Tamandua tetradactyla: one gene and its partners. The protein of the gene in region 2 interacts with the protein of the main gene of each other region in a pairwise test. Links are inferred from orthologs where the notes say so. Each region holds a gene or a part of one and is shown on either strand. Other genes may lie near its edges.

The links.
Region 1: the proteins of PCSK5 (region 2) and late cornified envelope protein 3C-like interact in binary tests that used the Homo sapiens proteins (3 or more experiments, as listed by UniProt). The two-hybrid records come from large-scale screens. The link is inferred for Tamandua tetradactyla from reciprocal best matches to the Homo sapiens genes PCSK5 and LCE3C.
Region 3: the proteins of PCSK5 (region 2) and NUFIP2 interact in binary tests that used the Homo sapiens proteins (3 or more experiments, as listed by UniProt). The two-hybrid records come from large-scale screens. The link is inferred for Tamandua tetradactyla from reciprocal best matches to the Homo sapiens genes PCSK5 and NUFIP2.

The regions. Positions count from the first base shown.
Region 1 is NC_135330.1:2,606,293-2,613,575, reverse strand, and holds late cornified envelope protein 3C-like, read left to right. Parts: upstream 1-4,979; 5' UTR 4,980-5,065; intron 5,066-5,438; 5' UTR 5,439-5,455; coding exon 5,456-5,716; 3' UTR 5,717-6,778; downstream 6,779-7,283. UniProt on the Homo sapiens protein: A structural component of the cornified envelope of the stratum corneum involved in innate cutaneous host defense.
Region 2 is NC_135328.1:106,313,806-106,321,431, forward strand, and holds the start of PCSK5 (proprotein convertase subtilisin/kexin type 5), read left to right. Parts: upstream 1-4,561; 5' UTR 4,562-5,058; coding exon 5,059-5,250; intron 5,251-7,626. UniProt on the Homo sapiens protein: Serine endoprotease that processes various proproteins by cleavage at paired basic amino acids, recognizing the RXXX[KR]R consensus motif. Likely functions in the constitutive and regulated secretory pathways.
Region 3 is NC_135332.1:52,447,470-52,454,941, reverse strand, and holds the start of NUFIP2 (FMR1-interacting protein NUFIP2), read left to right. Parts: upstream 1-4,467; 5' UTR 4,468-4,597; coding exon 4,598-4,892; exon of another isoform or gene 4,893-4,942; intron 4,943-6,076; exon of another isoform or gene 6,077-6,791; intron 6,792-7,472. UniProt on the Homo sapiens protein: Binds RNA.

The sequences.
Region 1 (7,283 bases), on a different chromosome or scaffold from region 2:
GGATATTGAGGATGTGAGTTGGATCAGGGGAGGAAGAGCTGGCGGAATGGAAAGTACAGAGAGCTGTCAGACTGGCTTCTCTGACGTGACTCCCAGAATGGACTTGGAGATATTTTGTGACTATTTGGGATGGTGGTCATTTCTAGCTACTGTGATTTGGGCAAATAAATTCATTATGCGTCATTGTACTCATGGGCTGAAGGGATGAGCTCATATTTAGGTTACAGGAGCAACTTATGATTTGTAAAATCGTGCCTTTTTTAATCTCCAGATAGGCCAGCAAGTTTAAGAAGAGTAGTTGAGACATTATTGTATTCACATCAAATTAAAGGAAATGAAACTAATAGATTCAGTAAAAGCATTTGACAAAATGCAACATCCATTCATGACAAAAGCTCTCAACAAACAAGGAACACAAGGGAACCTCCTCATCCAGGTAAATGTTGTCTGCAAAAAATCTTACAACTAATATCACATGTAACGGTGAGAGACCACCTGTGCCGGTTTGAAAGGAAGTATGCCCCCTAAGAAAAGCCATGTTTTGATATAAATCCCATTTCATAAAGGTAGAATAATCCCTATTCAATACTGTGTATTTGAAACTATAATGAGATCATCTCCCTGGTGATGTGATTTAGTCCAGAATGGTCGTTAAACTGGATTAGGGGATGACATGTCTCTACCCGTTTGAATGGGCCTTGATTGGTTTCCTGGAGTCCTATAAGAGAGGAAACATTTTGGAGAGAGAGATTCAGAGAGAGCAGAGAACGCTGCAGCACCACAAAGCAGAGTCCACCAGCCAGCAACAGGAGATGAAGAAGGAAAACGCCTCCCGGGGAGCTTCATGAACCAAGAAGCCAGGAGAAGAAGCTAGCAGATGATGCCATGCTCGCCATGTGCCCTTCCAGATGAGAGAGAAAGCCTGACTTGTTCGCCATGTGCCTTCTCACTTGCGAGAGAAACCCTGAACTCATCGACCTTCTTGAACCAAGGTATCTTTCCCTGGATGGATGCCTTAGATTGGACATTTCTATAGACTTGCTTTAATTGGGACATTTTCTCAGCCTTAGAACTGTAAACTAGCAACTTATTAAATTCCCCTTTTTAAAAGCCATTCCACTTCTGGTATATTGCATTCCGGTAGCTAGAAAACTAGAACAAATGGCAAATATGCAGATGAAAAGAGACTCAAAATCATTAGTCATCTAGGAAATGCAAATTAAAACAAAAATTAGGTATTACTACACATTGATTAGAAAATAAAATATAACTGAAAATGCCAAGTACTAAAAACGATGCAGAGTGACTACATGTCTCAACCTTTGCTGGTGGGATGCCCAATGGTATACCTGCTTTCAAAAACAATTTAACAGTTTCTTAAAAAGTTAAGCACACACTAAACACTTGCCCCAGAAATCCTACTCCTAGGTATTTAGCCAAGAGAAATGAAATTTCTGGTCTCAGGAAACCTGTGTAATGTCTTTATTCACAATTACCCAATTGGACACAGCCCAAATGTCCAGCCGATGGATTGTAAACACACTGTGGTCATCTGTGCAATGGGCCACTGCTCAGCAACACAGAGAAATGAGCTACTGGTACATGAGACAGCATGAATTAGTATCCAGTGCATTATTCCATGTGATAGAAGACAGACTTTAGATGCTACATTATATATTCCAGTTATAAGACATTCTGGAAAAGGCAGATTTGTGAGGACAGAAAACAGATCAGAGGTTGTACAGGGCTGGCATTGTCGGAGGGTTGAGCACAAAGAAGAACAGGAGAATATTCTGGGGTAATGGCCCTGTTCTATATTGTGATTGTAGTGTTTTCCTTATATGATTACATGTATCCATCAAAGCTCATAGAATTGTATATTTAAATGGGTAAATTTTGCTGTGTGTAAATTATGCCTCACGAAACCCTGTTTAAATCAAGAAATCTGATTTAAAGCAGAAAAAACTAAAAGGTAATGCATTTTAGGAATACATATAAATGTGATAAAAGATAGACAAAGAGAAGATAGTGGGAGGACGGCTCTTGGCAGAATTCTCGGTTGCCATGATGGAGACCCGGGTTTAAGTCTCAGTGCCTGCCCATGCAAAAAAAAACAACAACAACAAAGAGAGAAGCAAAGAATGATAAATTCATTATTCAGGAACACCGTACAGGCAGAGGAACGGGATGAGAGAGAACTACACAGATACAAGATTCTCAAAGTCCTTGTTTTCACTGAAGTGGTAGATTTTTGTGCGTCTGTTACTTAAATAATGATAAATGAATGAGTAAAGGGAGTTTGCGTGGGCTGATGAAGAGCACATCTTATGAACCAAGGATTATTGTTAATTCAAACCTTTGTGCCTGAAATCCGGTAATCAGAAAGCTAAACTGACCAAACTCCAAGAATAAATATCTTCGATTGCAGCACAGGGTACCATTTTCAGGCTTGCTCGTCTCATCTTCTCCAAGAAGGAACTCAAGTGCTCTACACATGCGATATCATGTTATGTGATATCTTGTCACACATTGCCAAGGCGAAAGGCCAAGCTTCATTTGTTTGTTTCTTTACTCATGTGTTACTAACATGCCTTGTCATAAGTCTCTCCCTGGAACTAAACCTTCCTGTCCCACCGCTGACATGTGCGCGCCTATGAAACACGAAATCCTCATTTGGGGCCAGCCAGGAATCTCCTCATTGCATCATCCCTGGTCCTCAGGATGTCAGGGCTCCCAGGACATTCTCACTGGACCTTGGTCATCTTCTGTCTTCTCAGGATCACTGAGGTCTCTGTTCTGATAGGGAAAGGGCAGGCTGTGAGGTCAGGGCAGGGGTGAGGTTACAGCACTCCATCTCAGGCAGGCAAAGATGGGAACTTCAGAATATGAGAAATGTAATCTGAGGGACTCGGGAAATGGAGGTGGCAAGAAACCAGCTGCAAGTCCATGCTCAATATGTGAGGAACAGAGAGGACTTCTTCCGACATGTTCTGACATGTTTTAAGTCACACTGACGGTGGAAGATGTATGATACCCAAAGTCTAGAAACTCAAAATCACACATCATTGGGATTGAAAAATGGGCTCTGAGAAACTGGTACCATGTGGGAAGATAATGATCCACCTCGGCAGCTGGTGTTGGACAAAGTGGTTCTGCTCCGTCCCGCCCTGTGACTCCCGCATTTCACCTTCAGGCTGAGTCACCACAGATGGAAATGTTGGTTTGGTGTCCACCCTCTCTGCTGACACTTAGCTGACACTCAGCCTGGGCGTCCCACATGAAGGGCTTGGGCAGGAATGATTTAAGTTGAGTGGATGGGAGGACGCAGACCTGGGGACGGAGTGAGGAAGGAGAGCGGCCTGAGACCAGGCCCGGTCACCAGTGAGGCCGGGAATCAGGGGCTTGCGCAGATCTGGCCTGGCCCAGGCCTCCCGAAGACCCCCTTTCCCGCAGGTCGTCCCCACCCCTGCCGCCCACCCTATAAGCCGGAGCTACTGGCAGCGCAGTGTGTTCCTACACCAGTGGTGCCTCTTCAGTCTCATCGTCCTGTTTGCTATGAAAAAAATGCCCTTTACAGTGTTTATAGGATGATTGACATTAAGCGAATGGCTTTCCCCAGTGCAGCAGGCAGGCTAAAACGGACACACGGCCAGACGGGATCCGGGGTCTTATTTGGAAGCCTGGCCTGGCTTTCCCACCATCAGAAACTCCGTTATCTCCTTCCAAGATCCTTCATGCTCCCACGTGTCTATGAAAGAAATCTTGGAAACACTGACACAAAACGAGTCAATGGTACATTGGAATGAAAAACAGAAACTGTAGACTTTACTGTTAATTTAAGATTTAAAAACAAGTAGCCAGTCCTCCAGGCTCACAGAAGATCAGAGATGTTTGCTGCCATGAGCTTGTATTTAATTTCATTTAAATATGTGACTTTTTAAGTCTCAATTTTTTTAACTTGTTGTATAGTATAACATATATACAAACCAATGACAATTAAAGTAATGTTTTTTGGTAAATAAAATCTACTGTATTTCATTATCATCACAGATTACATCTGTAAAATAACATGATTAAACTCAATGGGCAAACAATATTCCGTTTACATAAACCTTAGCTATAGTGAGGTAAATGCTACCAAATGAGCCTAATACCACTCCACCATCACTAACCTCACCGTTACCAACCGTGTAAGAAAACCATCGCCATCACTCCTCTGTGCAACTCTTCCGAGCACATGAACCACTTCCTCTGAAAGCTCCTACTCTCTCAGAGTCATAACAACATCCCACATTCACATGGATGTGGGCACAACACTATTCTTCTTTTTAAAAAATATCAGCTGTGCTTCTTGTCACCTCTACAATGGTAAATCCCCTCTGCACTTCAGCTCGGCTCTGGTCTCCACGCTCCGTGGGGACTGAAGTCCTCTTTGGAGCTTAACCATGCTGGACAGCAACGGGCTGCAAACCTACACCTCCAACCCTAAATGTCACATCCCCACGTGCCAACGACCCTGTGCAGCCACCACGCCCTGCAAACCCCAGGTGGCTCCTCCGTCCTCTGGAGAGTGGCCGGGCAATGCGGGATTCACCTCTGAAGCCTGGCTCGGAGCCTTTGTGAACACTTCTGTGGTCACAATGATCTCATCAGATCAAATGTCTCTGTTCGAGAAGGGTCCAGTTAGGTGGTGAGCTGCTCCAGGGACGACCAGGCCCCTTTCATCTCTACAGGACCACTGCTGCAAGAGCCAGGGACGGAGCTTGTGTGAGGTCATGGAAGCAGGATGAATGCATGGTCAGGTCCAGAGCAGACTTGAGGAGGAAGTGATTTGCAAGGCACAGGGACGTCCCAGTGTCACCTCATTGGGCCTCTAGGCATGTGCCCAAGAAGTACTGAGGTCAGGCAGCTGTGAGTGTTCATGCAATCATCTCCCCTGGGGTGTGCACACTCAAGCATGCTCAGCTGAGTATCGCAAACCAGCACAGGATAAAAGGGCGGCTGACCTGCACTCCTCATTCACAGCCTCCTCAGGAGCAAACTTCTCCTGCCTCCTCTGCAACTGGTAAGTGTCTAGAAGGGGACAGAACCTTGGCTGGGAGTGTTCTGGGAAGACAGGCTTAAGCCTAGAATGGAAACAGCAGAAAGAAGCACATAGCGGTCAATGGGAGAAGAGGTGGTGGAGAGGACGGAGCCCCTGGGACACATGTTAGGGGTTCTGTGACCACAAATCCACTGGACCTCAGGGATCCTTCCCATCTGGATGTGAGCATATTGTCAGGGATGTACATGGTCCATCTGATATCCATGAGGATGTTTTAGGAAAAAGCCTGTGTGCCTTCCATGTTCCCATTTCTTTCCCATGTGGGATGGCAGACGAAGGAGGAGACACTGGTCTGAAGCATCTGAGCTCACATGCGTCTCTTATTTTGTCCCAGGTCACACTCCTGCCGAGATGTCCTGCCAGCAGAGCCAGCAGCAGTGCCCGCCCCCGCCCAAGTGCCCCTCCCCCAAGTGCCCCCCAAAGAGCCCAGCGCAGTGTTTGCCTCCAGCCTCTTCGGGCTGCGGCCACAGCGCTGAGGGCGGCTGCTGCCTGAGCCCCCACAGGCCCCGCAGAGCCCACCGGTGCCGGCGCCAGAGCTCCGAAGGCTGCGACAGTGGCAGGGGAGAGTCTGGGGGACCTGGCTGTGGCCACAGCTCTGGGGGCTGCTGCTGACCTGGAAGCGCGGTGATGAGAAGCGATTTCACAGGAAACAGAGACCGAAAGCTCCAGGGACGACCCTCTCCTGCTGCCTCCTCCCCAGACGCCCTGGTGTGGCTTCCCCAGGCTGAGCTGTGGGGCTGTTCCATGGGGATCGAGCCACCCCAGAAGGCTCTTCCGTCTGACGTCCAGGACCCTCCCCTGTCCCTCAGCCCTGCCCCTGCGTGTACCTGTCAGCGCCTGGGCCAGAGCCGGTGGAGAATAAAGTTCCTTCTCATCACCACCTGTGATCACGGTCATTTCATCTGCCCTCCCACGTGGCTGAACGTGTGCCCCTCCGTCAGGACAGCATGCCCTCGAGAAGTTATAAAATCCTGGATCTAGATCAGGAAATCTAGGAGTTGTCAGTTCTTTGCATGGTGGCATTTGTGCTGTCAATGGGAAGGGCTGTGTGTTGGTTTGGAGGCATTATATACCCCAGAAAAGATGTTCTTAAATGTAATCCATCCCTGCGAGTGTAAACCTATTGTAGAAGGAATCTTGTGAGGAGGTTATGTCACCTAGATGTGACTCGCCTCGTTGTGCATTAATCCTTGCACGGTGGTCCTATATAACAGGGTAAACACACAAAGACGCTAAGAGATGAAATGAACAGGAGCTCACGGAAACACACCCAGAGAAGTTGAGAGTTGACAGTGGAAGTCATAGAGGCCAGAAGCTGAAAACAATGACCAATGAAGGGTGAGCAGACGCTGCCTGTGCTCTGTTCTCTGGTGGAGGAGCCCAAACTCGCTGGCCCCAGTGTTCAGAGGGGGCATCACGCCACTGATGCCTGAATTGGGACATTTTCACAGCCGTAGAAATGTAAACTTGAAGCTAATGAACTCCGATGTTTTTCAAAGCAAGTTCATTTCTGGTATATTGCATTTCGTCAGCTTTACCAAACCAAACAGGGTAGGCAGGAGAGTGATGGACATTTACTTTCACTTCCACATCCAAAGGCACAGACTCTCTAAATCTTTGTGATTAATTTAAAGCAACAACACTGAGAATGTTTGCGGTGAGACACACTCTGACCCGGTCAAATCCTCTCTAGCTCATCTCAGCTCCTGAGGAGGGACCACAGCTGACATGCCTGGATTGATCCCCCATGCTCCTTGTCACTCAGGATCTGGAATGTTCTTGAGTAGGTTTCCACCGTGGGACACAAAGCTCTGCACAGGGGCAGCTGGTCCAGGTAGGACCACTGAGAAGAGCTCATGGAAACCAGGAGCCAGCTGATGTCTGAGGACAGATGTGCCCGATAGAAGGATCCAGAACAACGTTTTCATTAATAGCTCTGACTAAAGGAGTGAGATACTCCTGGCATTGTTTTCTTTTTTCTTGATGTAATAGCTATCTTAAGGTTGGAGAATAGGTATTTGGGGGAGAGCAAATCTTTAATATTATAAAGTACAATAGACCATCGGTATGAGAGTTGAAATCACAGATGGACATAAGACACTGACCTACATCGATTATGATGTGTTAGTATTAATTCACTTTGCATTGCTTTCAAGAGTCCACACACTAGGGTGACTTT
Region 2 (7,626 bases):
ACCACTGCTAGGGATCTACTCAAAGGACTTAAGGGCAAAGACACAGACGGACATTTGCACACCAGTGTTTATAGCAGCATTATCTACAATTTCAAAGAGATGGAAACAGCCAAAATGCCCATCAACAGACGAGTGGCTAAACAAACTGTGGCGTATACCTATGATGGAATATTATACAGCTTTAAGACAGACTAAACTTATGAAGCATGTAATAACATAGATGGACCTAGAGAACATTATGCTGAGTGAGTCTAGCCAAAAACTATAGGACAAATACTGTATGGTCCCACTGATGTGAACCGATGTTCGAGAATCAGCTTGGAATATATCATTGGTAACAGAGACCAGCAGGAGTTAGAAACAGGGTAAGATAATGGGTAATTGGAGCTGAAGGGATACAGACTGTGCAACAGGACTAGATACAAAAACTCAAAAATGGACAGCACAATAATACCTAAGTGTAATGTAACTAGGTTGGAACACTGAATGAAGCTGCACCTGAAATATGGTTTTTTGTTTGTTTGTTTGTGTGTTTGTATATTTTGTTTTTGTTTTTTTCTTTTTCCTTTTTATATATATATTAGTATTATTGTTTTAATTCTCTTCTCTATATTAACATTCTATATCTTTTTCTGCTGTTTTGCTAGTTCTTTTCCTAAATCGATGCAAATGTACTAAGAAATGATGATCATACATCTATGTGATGATACTAAGAATTACTGAGTGCATGTGTAGAATGGAATGATTTCTAAATGTTGTGTTAACTTCTTTTCTTTTTTTAGATTAATAAAAAAAATTAAAAAAAAAACTTACACAATTAAAAAAAAAAATCGTGCTGTAAATGTGATATCACACATTGAAAAACTCTTACCCTTGGAACATGCATGTCACAGATCATATATTTTAAATGGTCGCATATGAACACTTAACGAATCTGAAATGTTTCAACAAGTTTTCATTCTCCTGATAGGGTTTATCTTATTCATGTCTTAATCAATTAAGAGTAGATTAATTTTAGTTTTAATCCTTGATTCATAGTGCATTGCTATCCTCAGTCCATGCAGCGCTTCCTTTATTTTATTTATATTACTTATCCATTTGTTAACTTCCCAGGTAGGGTTACTGTCCTCCAAATTAGTCTTCTATTGACCTCAGTGTTCTTATCTATTAAATAAAGAAGTTCGTTTATATGACATCTACGTTCCCTTTCAATTCTGATGCTCTGTATGTGAGATTAAGTCCTGAAATGTGTTTGGCCCAGTGCCTGGCATTGCTTAGTAAATGGTAGTTATTACAATAATTTATTATTATGATTATTAAATTTGACAAACTTTCTGAATTTAATATTCAGGAAAACTGTTTAGGATCCCCACAGCTGTGCCAACTCTTCTACTGGGCCATGAAATGTCTAGTAACATTTTTTCCCCTTGGTTGGCTCCAAACTGCCCATTACCAACTTATCATTAATACACAGAATCTCAGGTTAGAAAATATCTTAAAGGTCAATTTCCAGTAAAGCATGTAGCAAAGGCATAAATGAGGTAACTGAGGAGGCAAATTCTCCCCAGAATAATTCCCATTTGCAGAATTTCAAGATGATTCCTTGTGGAGGTTCCTCTACACTACTTCTACTAAACTGCCTGGATTTCTCTTCATTGCCTTTCACTGAAATTTTCTTTCCAAGCTGTAAGGGACCTTGGTAAAGAGGCCAAACACTAGCAGGGCCTCATTATCATGTAATATGTTGCTAAGTATAAGGCAAAGTAAAACTTGAAACTGCCTGGTTTCCTGCCAATGGCAAGTTCCAGATTGAGAGTGGAGGGTCAAATCACGCAGCAATATCGTCCAAATACAAAAAAGAAGCATTCCTGCAAGCCTTGGATTTCAGCTTCTTTTCCAATATCGGTAATGGTTTTATACTAATTAATGCTATTTTATCAGTTCCTCTTCTCTTTGGCTATTGAGGTATTTGTAATCCGGCTGCTATGATAACCAGCACAGCCAAGGTCACGAAATAAGATATCCTTTGTTGCAGCTATTGATCCTTATCTAGAAACTTCATTCTTGGCCAACAGGCTCTAAGAAACTAATGAGTTCACCTGTGCAGGTTCCAAAGCAGGGTGTGCCTGGGTGTCAGTGGGAGAGGGCCTTCACTATCGTTTAAGTTTAGGAATCACAGTCCTGAGAATGCTCTTCTAACTGAAGCAGACGATAACTGCAAAGATGACAGACAATAAAATGAATGACTCTACATTCATAAATTTGATTTGGCAGATGAAGGGGGTTCCAAATCTTCCTTGGTTAATAGAGCTGGGTTTTCCCCTTACAAATACAAGTTCGTCCAAATGGAAGAATATGCCCTTTGAGTAAGCTAAATGCTGGCCCAGGGTTTGGTTTACAAAGCGGCAAAGTGGCTTGCCCACTTCCTACTTCACTTTCCAATTCTCTCTCATGTTCAGTGCAGTGAATGGTATGTGCATGCCAAGCAGGGCATGCTCACAGAAGGCAAGAGTGTTGGTGGAACGAGAAAGAGAAAGACACCATGGAGAAAAAAATATCAATGAGTAATTTGCCATTCCTAGGAAACAGTCTCCAGGCCTCAGGAAAGCTGGTCCAGTGAGTGATTTCTCTTCACTTTATTTAGAAGTTGAAGCCCAGAGGTAACATGGCTTTCAGAGAGAAGCCTTTCATACTACCTTTGCAGTCCTAAACAATAGCAGCCCCAGAATCCTGGAGAAAACCCACAGGACTCAAGACGCAGCCTTGTGCAGTTCCTCAGAGTGGGGAGAGAAGTTGTTAAGTAGAGAGTGAATACACCCTCCCGCTCTGCTTCCCACCTGACACTTACACAAAGGCCTACAATTCGGAGGAAAGGAAGACTGACTATGGACACCAAGTTTCCAAGGTTGGAAAAGGATGGAAGGGATCTGTACAAAAGGACTGGCCAGTAGGTGACTGTGCCAAACTCTAAAGCTCAAGCATAGGGTTTATGCTTTTTCACCTATAAATGGTAGTGATAAAGATCACAATAATATTAATAAATCACATTTACTTTAGAATTAGAGAGTCTGAATTCCACTAATTCTTTTTACCTCCTCCCTCCCCCTCATTTCTCCAGTATTCAGCAAAAAGCCTATACCAAAAACAGATTTGTTGAATTACCCAATAAATGAATGAATGAAAGAATACATTCTTTCTACAAGCGATTTAGTTCTGATCCACCGCTTCTTCACCACTAATGTGCAGATAATGGTATTCCATGGCTTGTTTTGAAGATCAAATAATATAACATTTCTTATACAAGTTGTAAAATATCATAAACTATGATGCTCCAAGGTGCTAGCAGAGTTTTGAGTCTGCAAATACTTTTCAGCCAAAGGAAAAGAAAAGTGAGGCCGGAGGCAGATAAAAGATTCATTACCCAAGACTATAGGTGCGGTGGGTTAATTAATCTCCATACATTTAAAGCTAAAGAACAAAGTTATCTGGGATAGGGGGAGGAGTGGGATGGGGGAGGAGGGCGGAAGTGGGGAGGGAAATTGTTAAGGAGAGAATGAATACTTTTAAGATAGGTTAAATTATTTCTTAAGAGATAGCCTTTTTTCTTTTCACAAGAAATAGCTCTATGCTTAAAAAGGCAGAGAGGCTGTGAAGGAGAAGCAGGTTCATCCAAAATCCTTCCTGCCTTCTGCAGTACAGTGCCTGGTACAGTAAAGAAGACCTAACTTCCTCTGTGGTCCTTTTTATATTGAAGTCTTTCACTGTTACAGGACTGGGCTTAGAAAAGCTGGAAAAAGAAATCCTCATCAGACTCAGTCCAACAAATAAAGTTATTCCCTTGGCCCGACATCTCCACCTACTTTCCTACCAAATATTCATAGAAACATCCTTCTTAAATTCCACGGCTGGAATTTTACTCTCCCGTGGCGTTGCCTAGTGTCAGATGCACCGATTTCGAAAGTTAGCTGGCAACATACTTGGCTTTGGAACCACGTTGGTTTGCCTTTTGCAAGGGTCGATGCGCCTGAAGGTCTTATGTAGCAGTCTCCCTCGGGAGCAGAATGTGTAAAATAAACAGAAGCTGAAAAACCTGAAAAATTAACGAAGTGAAAAGCTCAGGTTACTTGTTCGATAATTGACACGCAAGTGACCTCCTTAAATACTTAGTTGTTTAAGGACGTTCAGAGGGAGGATGAATGAATCTTCTGGGCAATTGACGCGCACCAGCGTGTACATCTCTTTAGTCTTTCGGTATGTGGCGGTAAATTAATACAAATCCAGGAGGGAATGGGGAGAGGGAGGTAAAACCACGAACACAGAGCCCTCCTCCCAAGCCCTCTGCTGCCCGGAACCCTGGAGGTTACAGTCGGAGAACCCGACGGCGCTAGGACCTGGTTGGCGCTTGGCTGCAGCCGCTTTGGGGCGGGAGGAGGAGGGAGAAGAGGAGGGGGAGGTGGGAAAGGAGGGGTGTTAAGGGGGGCTAGGGGCGGCAGTCATTTATGCAGAGCCGGCGCTGCTGCCATTGCCGCTCGCACTCCCCGCGCACTGCTTGGAGCCCGAGGGAGCGCGAGGCAGCAAACGAGCGAGCGCGCGCTGGGAGCCGGGGCCAGCAGAGGGGGCGCCCGGCCGCTGTCTGCACCGCCCCCGCCGGCCGCCTTCACCGCCTCCGCCGCGCTCCGGGGCCCTGGGAGGAGCGGGGTCGAGTTGGAGAGTCCGTGAGTCCAGCGGAGCGAAACCCAACTGCCGGAGGGCGCCCGCCCCACTCCGCTTCCTCGCGCGCCGGAGCCCGGGAGCGCCCGCCGACCGTCCCGCTGGCCCGAGAGCTGGGAGCACAGGTCTCCGCAGCGCCAGGGATGGTCTAGGGGCCAGAGCGAGGCTCGCTGCTCTGCTCCCTGCCGGGACTCGCCGCCTCTTGCTGATCGCCCAGGGCTGCGAGTAGCGGCAGCCGGGGGGCTGCGCGCCCGGGCGGCCCAGGCCAGAGAAGTTAGTTGTGCGCGCCGTTTAGTGCGCGGAGCGAGCAAACGAGCAGGGCAACGGAAGAAGCGAGGCGCCGGGACCATGGGCTGGGGGAACCGCTGCTACTGCCCGGGACGGCTGGACCTGCTGTGCCTGCTGGCGCTGCTCGGGGGCTGCCTGCTCCCCGTGTGCAGGACGCGCGTTTACACCAACCACTGGGCGGTCAAAATCGCCGGCGGCTTCCCGGAGGCCAACCGCATCGCCAGCAAGTATGGATTCATCAATTTAGGACAGGTAATGCCGGGTTGACCCGTCCTCGGGCCCTGTAAGCTGCTTGGGGCGGGGAGACTGGTGCTTGCGAACCCCGCTTCTCGCGCCCTCGGGGTCAACCCCCTCCCCCTCTTCCAGATGTGCTGTTGCAGCTGTTGCCCTAACTCCTGGGCGATATTCTTTCTCGCTGTCACACACACACACACACAGACGCACACACACACACACAAGTTGCTGGGGTTTGTGTTTTGTTTACAAGCCACGCGGGACAGGTAGGGTCTCTGGAAAAATTTGGAGTTGTTTCAGACCCTCCCGGGACCTTTTGACCTGGAAAGTCAAAGAGCATTGGTCGCCTGAGGGAAAATCTCAGCGGGTGGGCGTCAGGGGGGGGGTGGGATAAGGTGTTTCGGGGGCCCTGGAACCGCTCCTTGTGATTTTCGAGAACAGGGAAGAGGTAGGACGGCACGGAAGGGAAAGCTTTTCCTGCTCGGACCTGAATTTCGCCCAGAAAGAAGTTTCCTCTTGGGCGAGAGAACCGCTGGTCGTAGGAGGCGCGAGGACTGGAGCTGGAAGGGAGGAGGGAGGCGGGGGTGGAAAGAGGGGGCGGGAACAGGCGTGAGCGCGGATCTGGGGAGAGACCTCCGCGCGTCCTCGCCTCCCTAGCACCCGACCCGCGTGGGGCCTCCGGACTTGGGGGATGGTGGGGATCGAAGCGGGACGTGGGAAACTTACGTGTCGGGTCGACCGGATTCTATAACGGAAAAACCACCATTCCCGGGGCGAGACGTGCGGGGCCAAGAGTCGGAGCCTTGGGGCAACAGTTGGGCCAGCAGCGGGGTGCGAGGTTTTCGTGGGGTGCCTCTCGCAGTCTGTAGGGAGAGTCGCCCTGCTGAGTAAAAAATGCTTATAAATTGAGGTGATGCAATGGGGATGATTAGAAACGGAACAGATTTGGATGTTCCGCCGGGCTAACTAGGGTTAGCGTCCTGGTTTCCTCGAGATTCCGAACCCCGAACCCCTGCTAGAAATGGTGTGGAGGGAACTGTGTAAGCGGGTTCCAGCAAGTACACCCCTCCCCCCCGCACACACTCCGTACAGCCCTCCATCGCGCTCCCCGCTGGGAATGGGAGGGGAGCATACTGAGGGGCGTCCTCGCAGCAGGCGCGCTTCTGAGACTGCTCGCGCTGCGGGAAGTAGCGGCAAGGGCTGGGGTCAGCGCCCTCGGCGCCTGGACGCGGCAGCCGCAGAGAAAAAGATGCGGACTGGTGCGGCTGAAGTAAGAGAACGCAGATGGTTTTTGATGTCATTGCTTTCCAGGCCCAGGAACGCGGGTCTTGGAGCACGGGGACCCCCTGGCAGCTCTGAGAACTCGGCACCGGGAAAGGAGATAGAGTGCCAGCGAGGCAGCTAAGGACCTGGGGAGCGTGGGTGGCGGGAGAAGTTCCGAGGAGCCTGACCGGGAGGCCGTGCTTTTTGCCCACCCAGAGGGAGGACATGTGCCAGAGGAGCAGGTCCTGTGGAGGTTTGAGAGGGCAAAGGGGCACTGTTTGAACCCTCGACCCCCACCCTCTCCCCATCAGGAAGAAAGCCAGAGAAGCCAGCTAGAGTTTGTTGCCTTGTCATCTGCGGAATCATTCCCTTCCGGTGTCTTGCTAGGGTTCTATAGCCTTCTTTTTTCCTCTGGAAGAAAACACTGAGGCTGTTCAGGTCTTTTTACCATGAGCTTACATTTGGGTGCTGCCTATGCCCAGGGAATGTAACTGAGAAGGCTATCCCTGAGAGTAGTCATGTAATCTTTTCAAAGACTCATCTCTCAGGCTCAACTAACACTGAACATCTTCCATATGCCTTGCATATTTGGAGGGATAAGTTCTTGAGCATACACATTTTGATCTTCAAAACAGCCTTGTTTGATGCATATGACTTCATTGACAGCAGATGAGAAAACCAAGACTCTTGAGAAGTTAAGTGAGCTGCCTAGGGTCACCCAGCTAGATGGTGGCCATGATTCAAACCCAGGACTATCTGGCCCAGACCCACTACCCCAAGTATCTTACCTTTTAGGGACTGTCTCCATCACTTGTGGGGAAAGAGAAATAAACTAACATTCCCATTTCCCTGAATTCTGATTTAGTGGCTTGGTAGACTGGAAGCAGGCATCTGGTCTTAATTCACAGATATTTGGTTCAAACAGATCTGAACTTAATCTAAGATGTTTCACGACGAGTAAGGACAGGAACACTTGTTTCTGAACTCACTGAATAGAGTATAGATATTACAGAATCTGGCAGAGCGAGAGGTGAGAAATTATCACCAAAACCCAACGTCTAAATATTCCAGTGGCAGCAAAAGCTTCACCTGATTTTCACAGAGGGCCTTATAGTGAAGAGTCATACATGA
Region 3 (7,472 bases), on a different chromosome or scaffold from region 2:
ATCAGGAGCTGTCTTTAGTGATCACAAGACTCTAAAGTGGAAAAACTGGATAAAATGGGTAAAAGTGAAGGTTAGTCACAAGGTTTTTACAATCACAAGGGCACAAGAGAAAGGCTATACAATCATTATCAGCAATCAAGGTGGCTGAATTACAGTTCAAAGATTTCAGGTCTTTCCCTCTGTCTACTCAAATATACCAGAAAGTAAAAAGGAGCACCTATATAATAATTCAGTAATTATAATCATCCCTTAAATCCTAACTTCTCAGTTACACACACATTTTAATATTTTAAAGTGTTAACTCTGGGATTTAGTCCCTGAGCTGTCTGTTCTTTACGTCTCTATCTGGTATGACAGAGTGCCAGGATCCACTGAAACAAACCAACCAAAGCAAAAGGCACATTTCATGATCTTTGGAAATTGGCTCTGCTTTGGCTGGTGGTTTCCTTCAGAGCTTAGCCCTTCTATCAAGAATATCAACCCTAGGTGAATGTGAAGTGACCAGGTCCTCTCTGTCTTATATGAACCTACTTGGAACTATGGTATCTGTTTCTTTTCCTGGGCTTGTACTTGCTTCTTGCCTTAGGAATTCCTGTGTTTACAGTAATTTAAATGCCACTTCTACTGATTTAAGTAATCCTTTGCCCAAGGCTGCTTAGAGTTATTTATTACACCATTTTAGTTGTCCACAAATTGCCTGCAGGGCAAGTTCTGGCAGGGTCAACCTGTGTCAGTCTTTCAAGCTGCCAACCCATATGCCCATTCTGGCTTACTCTTTTTCTTCCTGGGCAGGGCCAGGGACCCACAATAAGAGCACATGCTGGCTCCAAACCATGCTGGGGAGGAGGTGGGAGAGGGGCAAGCAAGGGCTCCATGATTTAGTCCTACCATTTTAAAGCTGTGTTTCATTGATTCGGTATTTACCCAGTTATTGCAATTCTTTAACTGTTTTCTGTTGTTTTGACAAAAGTGGCTCTGCCAGTTTTTTAAAGTTGTTCAAAGATTCTGTTGGGAATGGCACCCTTGGGCATCTTATACCACCATCTTGGTTGAATGGAAGCCCTCTTATTGTTTTTTGTTTATGGTAGAAACATACATCCAACATAAACTTTCACATGTTAACCATGCCCAAACATAGCCTACAGTGGGATTAATTGCATTCACAGTGTTATGCTGTCCTCACTACTATCCATTTCCGGACCATTCCCACCACTCCCAACAGAAACCCTTCACTCATTATGCACTAACTCCCCATTTTCCTCTCACCGCTACCCCTGTTAACTGTACTCTATTGTCTGTCTGTATGAATTTGCATAGTCTAGCTATTCCATGTGTTGTAGTTTGCTAGCTGCTGGAATGCAATATACCAGAAACAGATTGGCTTTTAAAAAGGGGAATTTAATAAGTTGCTAGTCTACAGTTCTAAGGCTGAGAAAATGTCCCAATTAGGACAAGTCTATAGAAATGTCCAATCAAATGCATCCAGGGAAAGATACCTTGGTTCAAGAAGGCCGATGAAGCTCAGGGTTTCTCTCTCAAGTGGAAGGCACATGGCGAACATAGTCAGAGTTACTCTCTCATCTGGAAAGGCACATGGTGAACACCGTTAGGGTTCCTCTCTCATCTGGAAGGGTACATGGTGAACATGGCGTCATCTGCTAGCTTCTTCTCCTGGCTTCCTGTTTCATGAAGCTCCCCGGGAGGCATTTTCCTTCTTCATCTCCAAAGGTCACTGGCGGGTAGACTCTGCCTCGTGGTGCTACAGCATTCTCTGCTCTCTTGAAATCTCTTTCATTCTCCAAAATGTTTCCTCTTTTATAGGACTCCAGAAACCCATCAAGACCCACCCAAATGGGCAGAGACATGTCATCAACTAATCCAGTTTAACAACCACTCTTGATTAAGTCACATCTCCATGGCGATGATCTGATTATAGTTTCAAACATCCAGTATTGAACAGGGATTATTCTATCTTTATGAAATGGGATTTTGATTAAAACATGACTTTTCTAGGGGACATACATCCTTTCAAACCAGCATACCATGTAAATGGAAAAATATAATATTTGTCCCTTTGTGTCTGACTTATTTCATTCAACATAATGTATTCGAGGTTCAACCATATTAGCATGTATTAGAACTCCATTCCTATTTAAGGCTAAATAATATTTCATTGTAAGTATGTGCCACATTTTGTTTAGTCATCCATTGATGGCCTTTTGGGTTGCTTCTACTTTCTGGCTATTGAAAAAAAATTAATTTCATTAAAAACAATAATGTTTGCATTATAAAACATAACTATTTCACAGAGTTTGAAAGTATTTGAAAGATAGAGAAAAAAAAATTCCACCATTCTGTATTTCCTTCTTGTGCTTTTTTTTTCCTTAATGCAGAGTCTTTCCTAAAAATAGGCTCGAAATCAGTAGACCCACTTATTTTCTTTTCATGGAGGTTTGGTATTATGGCATTATAATAATTAAATATTTTAAATACATGGCAAATCTCAAATATAATTTACATGAAACTACTTTAGAAAAATAGAAAAATCAGCGGAAGAAAGGTATTCATTTTACTCTTGTGTTTCCATTCTTGTTTTAAAAAATATTCATGTTTTTATAAGGTTATGATCCTAGTGTACATAGAATTTAATAGTCTGCATTTGTTTTACATTACATCACAAGCCTTTCTTCATATTTCTATATACTAGTAAGACAACATTCATAGTAACTGGAGCATCTGACAGCAACATTTAGTTTCCTAAATTCTATAGAACTGTTGAAGAAATTAAGGCAGGTGAAGGTGTGAGAAGTCAGAAACTCAGGAGTGCTACTGGTTTGCCTGCAAGTATAACGTGGAAAATGTAGAAAGAGAAGGTAGAGCTCAAGAATTCTTGCCTTCCAACTAAATGCCTGAGTCATAAAAAGAACATAGGGCATATTATCATAATCCTAAATGCTATATACACTTTTATTTTTCTTTCAATGGATGGGAAAGTGATGGAAAACTAGTGTGAAAGACATATGACATTATATGGTGTTATTATTAGAACTTTGGCCCCAAAAGTTGAGTAAATGTATTTCCCACCCGTACCCTGCACCCCTCCCCCACCCCCCAAGGGTCTTTGTTTAAAATTTAGCAAGGCAATGCAAACCCTTTCTAAAGAAAACAAGCCAAGGTCTGGTCCTGGTTTTCTGGATTCACTGATGTTTGCTGTTGGAAACAGGCTTTTACCTTTTAATTATGCTTTCACATTGACATCGATTAATTTCAGGGCACAAACTTTTTGCTTTTAAGCTTCTTTGTTCGTTTAATGTAGTCCTGCTGTATAAATACAGGAAGGAATTCAAGCCACATTTAAAAAATTATAAAATAAGGCACTCAGTGAGATAAGTGTGTTATACATATATGTATATATACAGTTCAATAATGATAAAGCAAATATAAGTGTAATCACCATCTAGGTCAAGAAATAAAAATATAACCAGAGGATATCCCTGTGCCTCTCCCCATTACAACCCTCATCTTCTTTCCTAACCACTATTCTTACCCTAACATTTGCTTTAATAAATCAGACTGTGATGTGATAATGCAGGATAATTTAAATTAACTCTACAAAAATAGAAAAAAGCCATAATTCTAGTAGACTTAGCTGTATTTCCTTCTTGTTTATCTCTTTAAACTTCAACGTTTTCAATAAATGCAAGGAAAATGAACAAGCAAACTTTTAAAGTGCTCTTTTCTCCCCTCTTTTGCTCTTCAAACTCTTCACATTCTAAAACCTATCTTGGTTCTACAATTTTCACCTGCAAAGTTTAATAATAATAATTTAAAAATCTCCACTGTAGATTTTCATTCCTCCTGCTCTCCTTTGCTTCCAACTACAAAGAAACAATGATTTAAACCCTTTGTGCCCTTTTAGAAAATTACACAGATACCCCATTGTGGAATCCTATAATCCCTTCGTGGAAAGGAAGAGATTAGCATATGAATACAAAGCAAAATGAATCCAGAATACAAAATGATCTACTGGATTGGGAAGCTCTCGTTTTCTTAAAAATATATTTATTTCCTCTTTTTGTATTGCCCCTTTAGGGTTAAAGGAATTGAGCTTCCCCTCTGGTTATCCGGAAAAGGATTTAAAAAAAAAAAAAAAAGCCAACAGATTCTAGGGTTCAAAACCAACAGATGGCTCCCAGCGCCAGTGGAATCTGCTCCATTCGACTTGGGCTTGCTTGCCGGCGAAGAGTGCAGAAAGTGCTGATAGCATACTGCGCGGTGAAAGAGAGAAAGCGACAGAAGAGAGAGCCATAGTGCTGACGTTGAAGGCCCGGCCCTGTGAGGTTGCATAGGGTAAGTGGCGTTGGCCAGGAGGCAGTGGCTAAGGGGAAGGAAAGAGGATTTGGGCTAGGGGGCGGGGCCTGTGGCGCAACCTGGTTCCTGATTGTTGGAGCGCGGCTGCCAATCTCGTAGAATCGCTCAGTTAACCAGTGCGCTGGCGAGACGCTCTCAGATATACTGAGTGAGCCCTAAGAAGCAGTCTCAGATCCTGACGGTGCAGCAGCCTGCAGCCTCAGCCAGGGAGTCCCAGCCGCTTTCAATGGAGGAGAAGCCCGGCCAGCCACAGCCTCAACACCATCACAGCCACCACCATCCGCACCATCACCCGCAGCAGCAGCAGCAGCAACAGCAGCAGCAGCAGCAGCCGCACCACCACCACCATTATTATTTCTACAACCACAGCCACAACCACCACCACCACCACCATCACCAGCAGCCTCACCAGTATCTGCAGCATGGAGCCGAGGGCAGCCCCAAGGCCCAGCCAAAGCCGCTGAAACATGAGCAGAAACACGCCCTCCAGCAACACCAGGAAACGCCGAAGAAGAAAACAGGTCTGGGAGGGAGGACGGGTGGGGGAAGGGGATTGGGGTAGGGGGCAGGGGCGATGGGGGTGGGGCTGGACCAGAAGAGCTTGGACAGTGTTGGGGTATGCATGTGTCTGTGTATGTCCTCTTGGTCTGGGGGTGCCCTTTTCATTCTCCCAAACCTTCCCCGGGCTCGGCCAGGGGAGCGGGTGTTTGCAGCGCCCTCTCCTTCCCCTCTGCACGGGAGAGGCCCAGCCAGGCCAGTGTGACCTTCCCGGCCCCCGCCCCGGCTGGAGGGGAGACCCGGAGGGTCGGCCTTAAAGGCCAGCCGTATTATTCCTTTACTATTCTCCTTGTGGCCCAGAATTGGCCTCAATTTGGGGCCATGATATGGGGTGAGTCTATCCCTCCAAAAAAAAATCATTTGGGGTGTAACTCCGGAAGGCCTAGTGAATCCCGACTCGGGTGGGTGACGCGAGACCCTTTTACAGGCGGCAAGGAGGGTCGGTGGGCAGAGTTGAAGTAATGTCCTCCGTCACCCGCCACCCCAAGCCCACCTGTGGCCTTGGGGTTCCCCGTCTGGGGGCTGGCTGGGACCCCTCGTTTCTCGGGTCTTTTCTACCCCAAACACCTCTTTGGGGTACGAGAGCCTGCGGTCTCTGTCCGAGGCTCCTCCCGGGGCCGGCGCCCCGGGCCCGCTCCCCCCAGAGCCGGCGCGGCTGGAATGTTCTCTCCTCCTCGCGGGGCCGCTTCCTGTCCGCCATGTTGGAAGCCGATTCCTGTCACCGACTCCGGCCCACTGAGGAGCGGAGGGAAGGGTTTCGAGGGGTGCCCGGCGCGGCGGAGCCGGGTGACCCGGGAACCCCGCCTGCAGTCGCCGTTTTCTCCCCGCTACGGGGGAGACCCCGGCCCGTGGCCGCCCCTCCCCCCGTGGCCGGTCCGGGTTGTGTAACCCGGTGGCGGCCGCGCGGCCCCGGGCGGGTCCCTGGGGTGAGGGGCGGGGGCGGTTGAGGTGGGGGAGGGAAGCGGCCACGAGGGGAGCGGCCTGTGCCCGGCTCCGCGCGCCGGCGACCGCGTTTCCCGCTCCCGGGTGCGGCGGGAGGCGCGGGTGGTCAGGGCGGGGAGCCGGCCTCCAGGCGGAGCCGAGAGGGGAAAGAGGAGGCCGCGGTTGGCGGCCGCGGCTTTTGCCGGGGCTGGAGGGTTGGAGGGCTGGCGTGGGGGTGCGGGGGGGATACGTTTTGACTAGAGGCGGCGCCTGAAGGCCGGGTGGGGTACCCAGCGGGAACCGAGCTCCCCGGTCACGAGTTTTTCTCTGCCACTGGAACCTCATCTCCTGCCAGGTTCGCTCACGACTCCGCCTCTGAGGCTTTCGCTTGGGTCTTTGCCTTCCAGCAGCTCGTTTTCAACACAGAAAACAGCTTTTCTCTTTCCGCGCCCCTTGTCGCCCTCCCAACACAACCTCATGGGCTTGGATAGTGTCTTTTTCAGGAGAGGGACTAAACATGTTAGTTGGACCGGGCAGAGGGCGAATTATTATTATTTTTTTTAACCTCGTCTTTAAAGATGAACCTAGGTGGCTCAACCATGAGGTTGGGTCACTACCTTATTGCCTTACATGAGGCTTTTTTGCATTTTGAAATCTGTATTGATCCCAGATTTCTCATTTTTGATAAACATTAAATGGTGAGATGTGAAGAAATGAACTTAAAAGTATACACCCTCGCAAATTTTTTAAAAATAAGAGTTTATAAATTGATGAGAAGTGAGAGAATGATAACGAGTGAATATTAAACCCAGCAGATCAAGTTTGATGCAAGTAGCTATCAAGAGCTGGAGAAAAACTGCTTTTCTTTCGCAGGCTTAATGTACTAGAAGATTGTACTTAGAATATCAGATTTTCCATTTTGTGGGGTGTGTTAAGGACTGGTGAGTTCTTAGGCAGAAAAAATGGTCACATAAATATGTTAAGAATATTTAATCCTAAGGATAGGAAACAGTTTTAAACTTACAGGAACCACATAACACTAAATCTTGTTCAATTTAAAGATGAGAAACCTTACCTTATTAAAGTTGCTTGGAGTGTGTTGTCACTCTTATTGGTCAGGTTGAGTAGTCCTTGCAGGACTCCTTTCTTCATAGAGAAGCGACCCGGAAATAGTATGTTTTATCCTGGAAGGGAATAAAGAGGGAAAAGTGGGTTTGCAGTTTTGAAAAAATTTAAACCATTTGGAATGAGCAGCTTTTCATGTGTGGTGAAGTCACAGTGCATTTGCATTGATATACATGATGCTAATTTACTAGAAAAAGTTGGGGGGAAAAGTAAATACCTGTAATATGTTGAAGTGGGCTTTTGTGACCTATTACCCACAAATCTATAAAGAACAGTTTTTTCAGTCCAGAAGAGGGCGCAAGAGAGGGTAATTGTGTTGAGTAATTTCGGTTTCTAATCTAAAAGCAAGATTGATTTATCAGGACTGAAGTTTTGCTGAGTCCATTTGAAGTGGAGTTAGATGGTTCAGCATGGCAGCCGGCAGCCTTGAATAATGAAAGCACTGAGAGTTATTTAATATCTTTCAGTTAATCTATAGTGTCTACATTTTCCTTAAA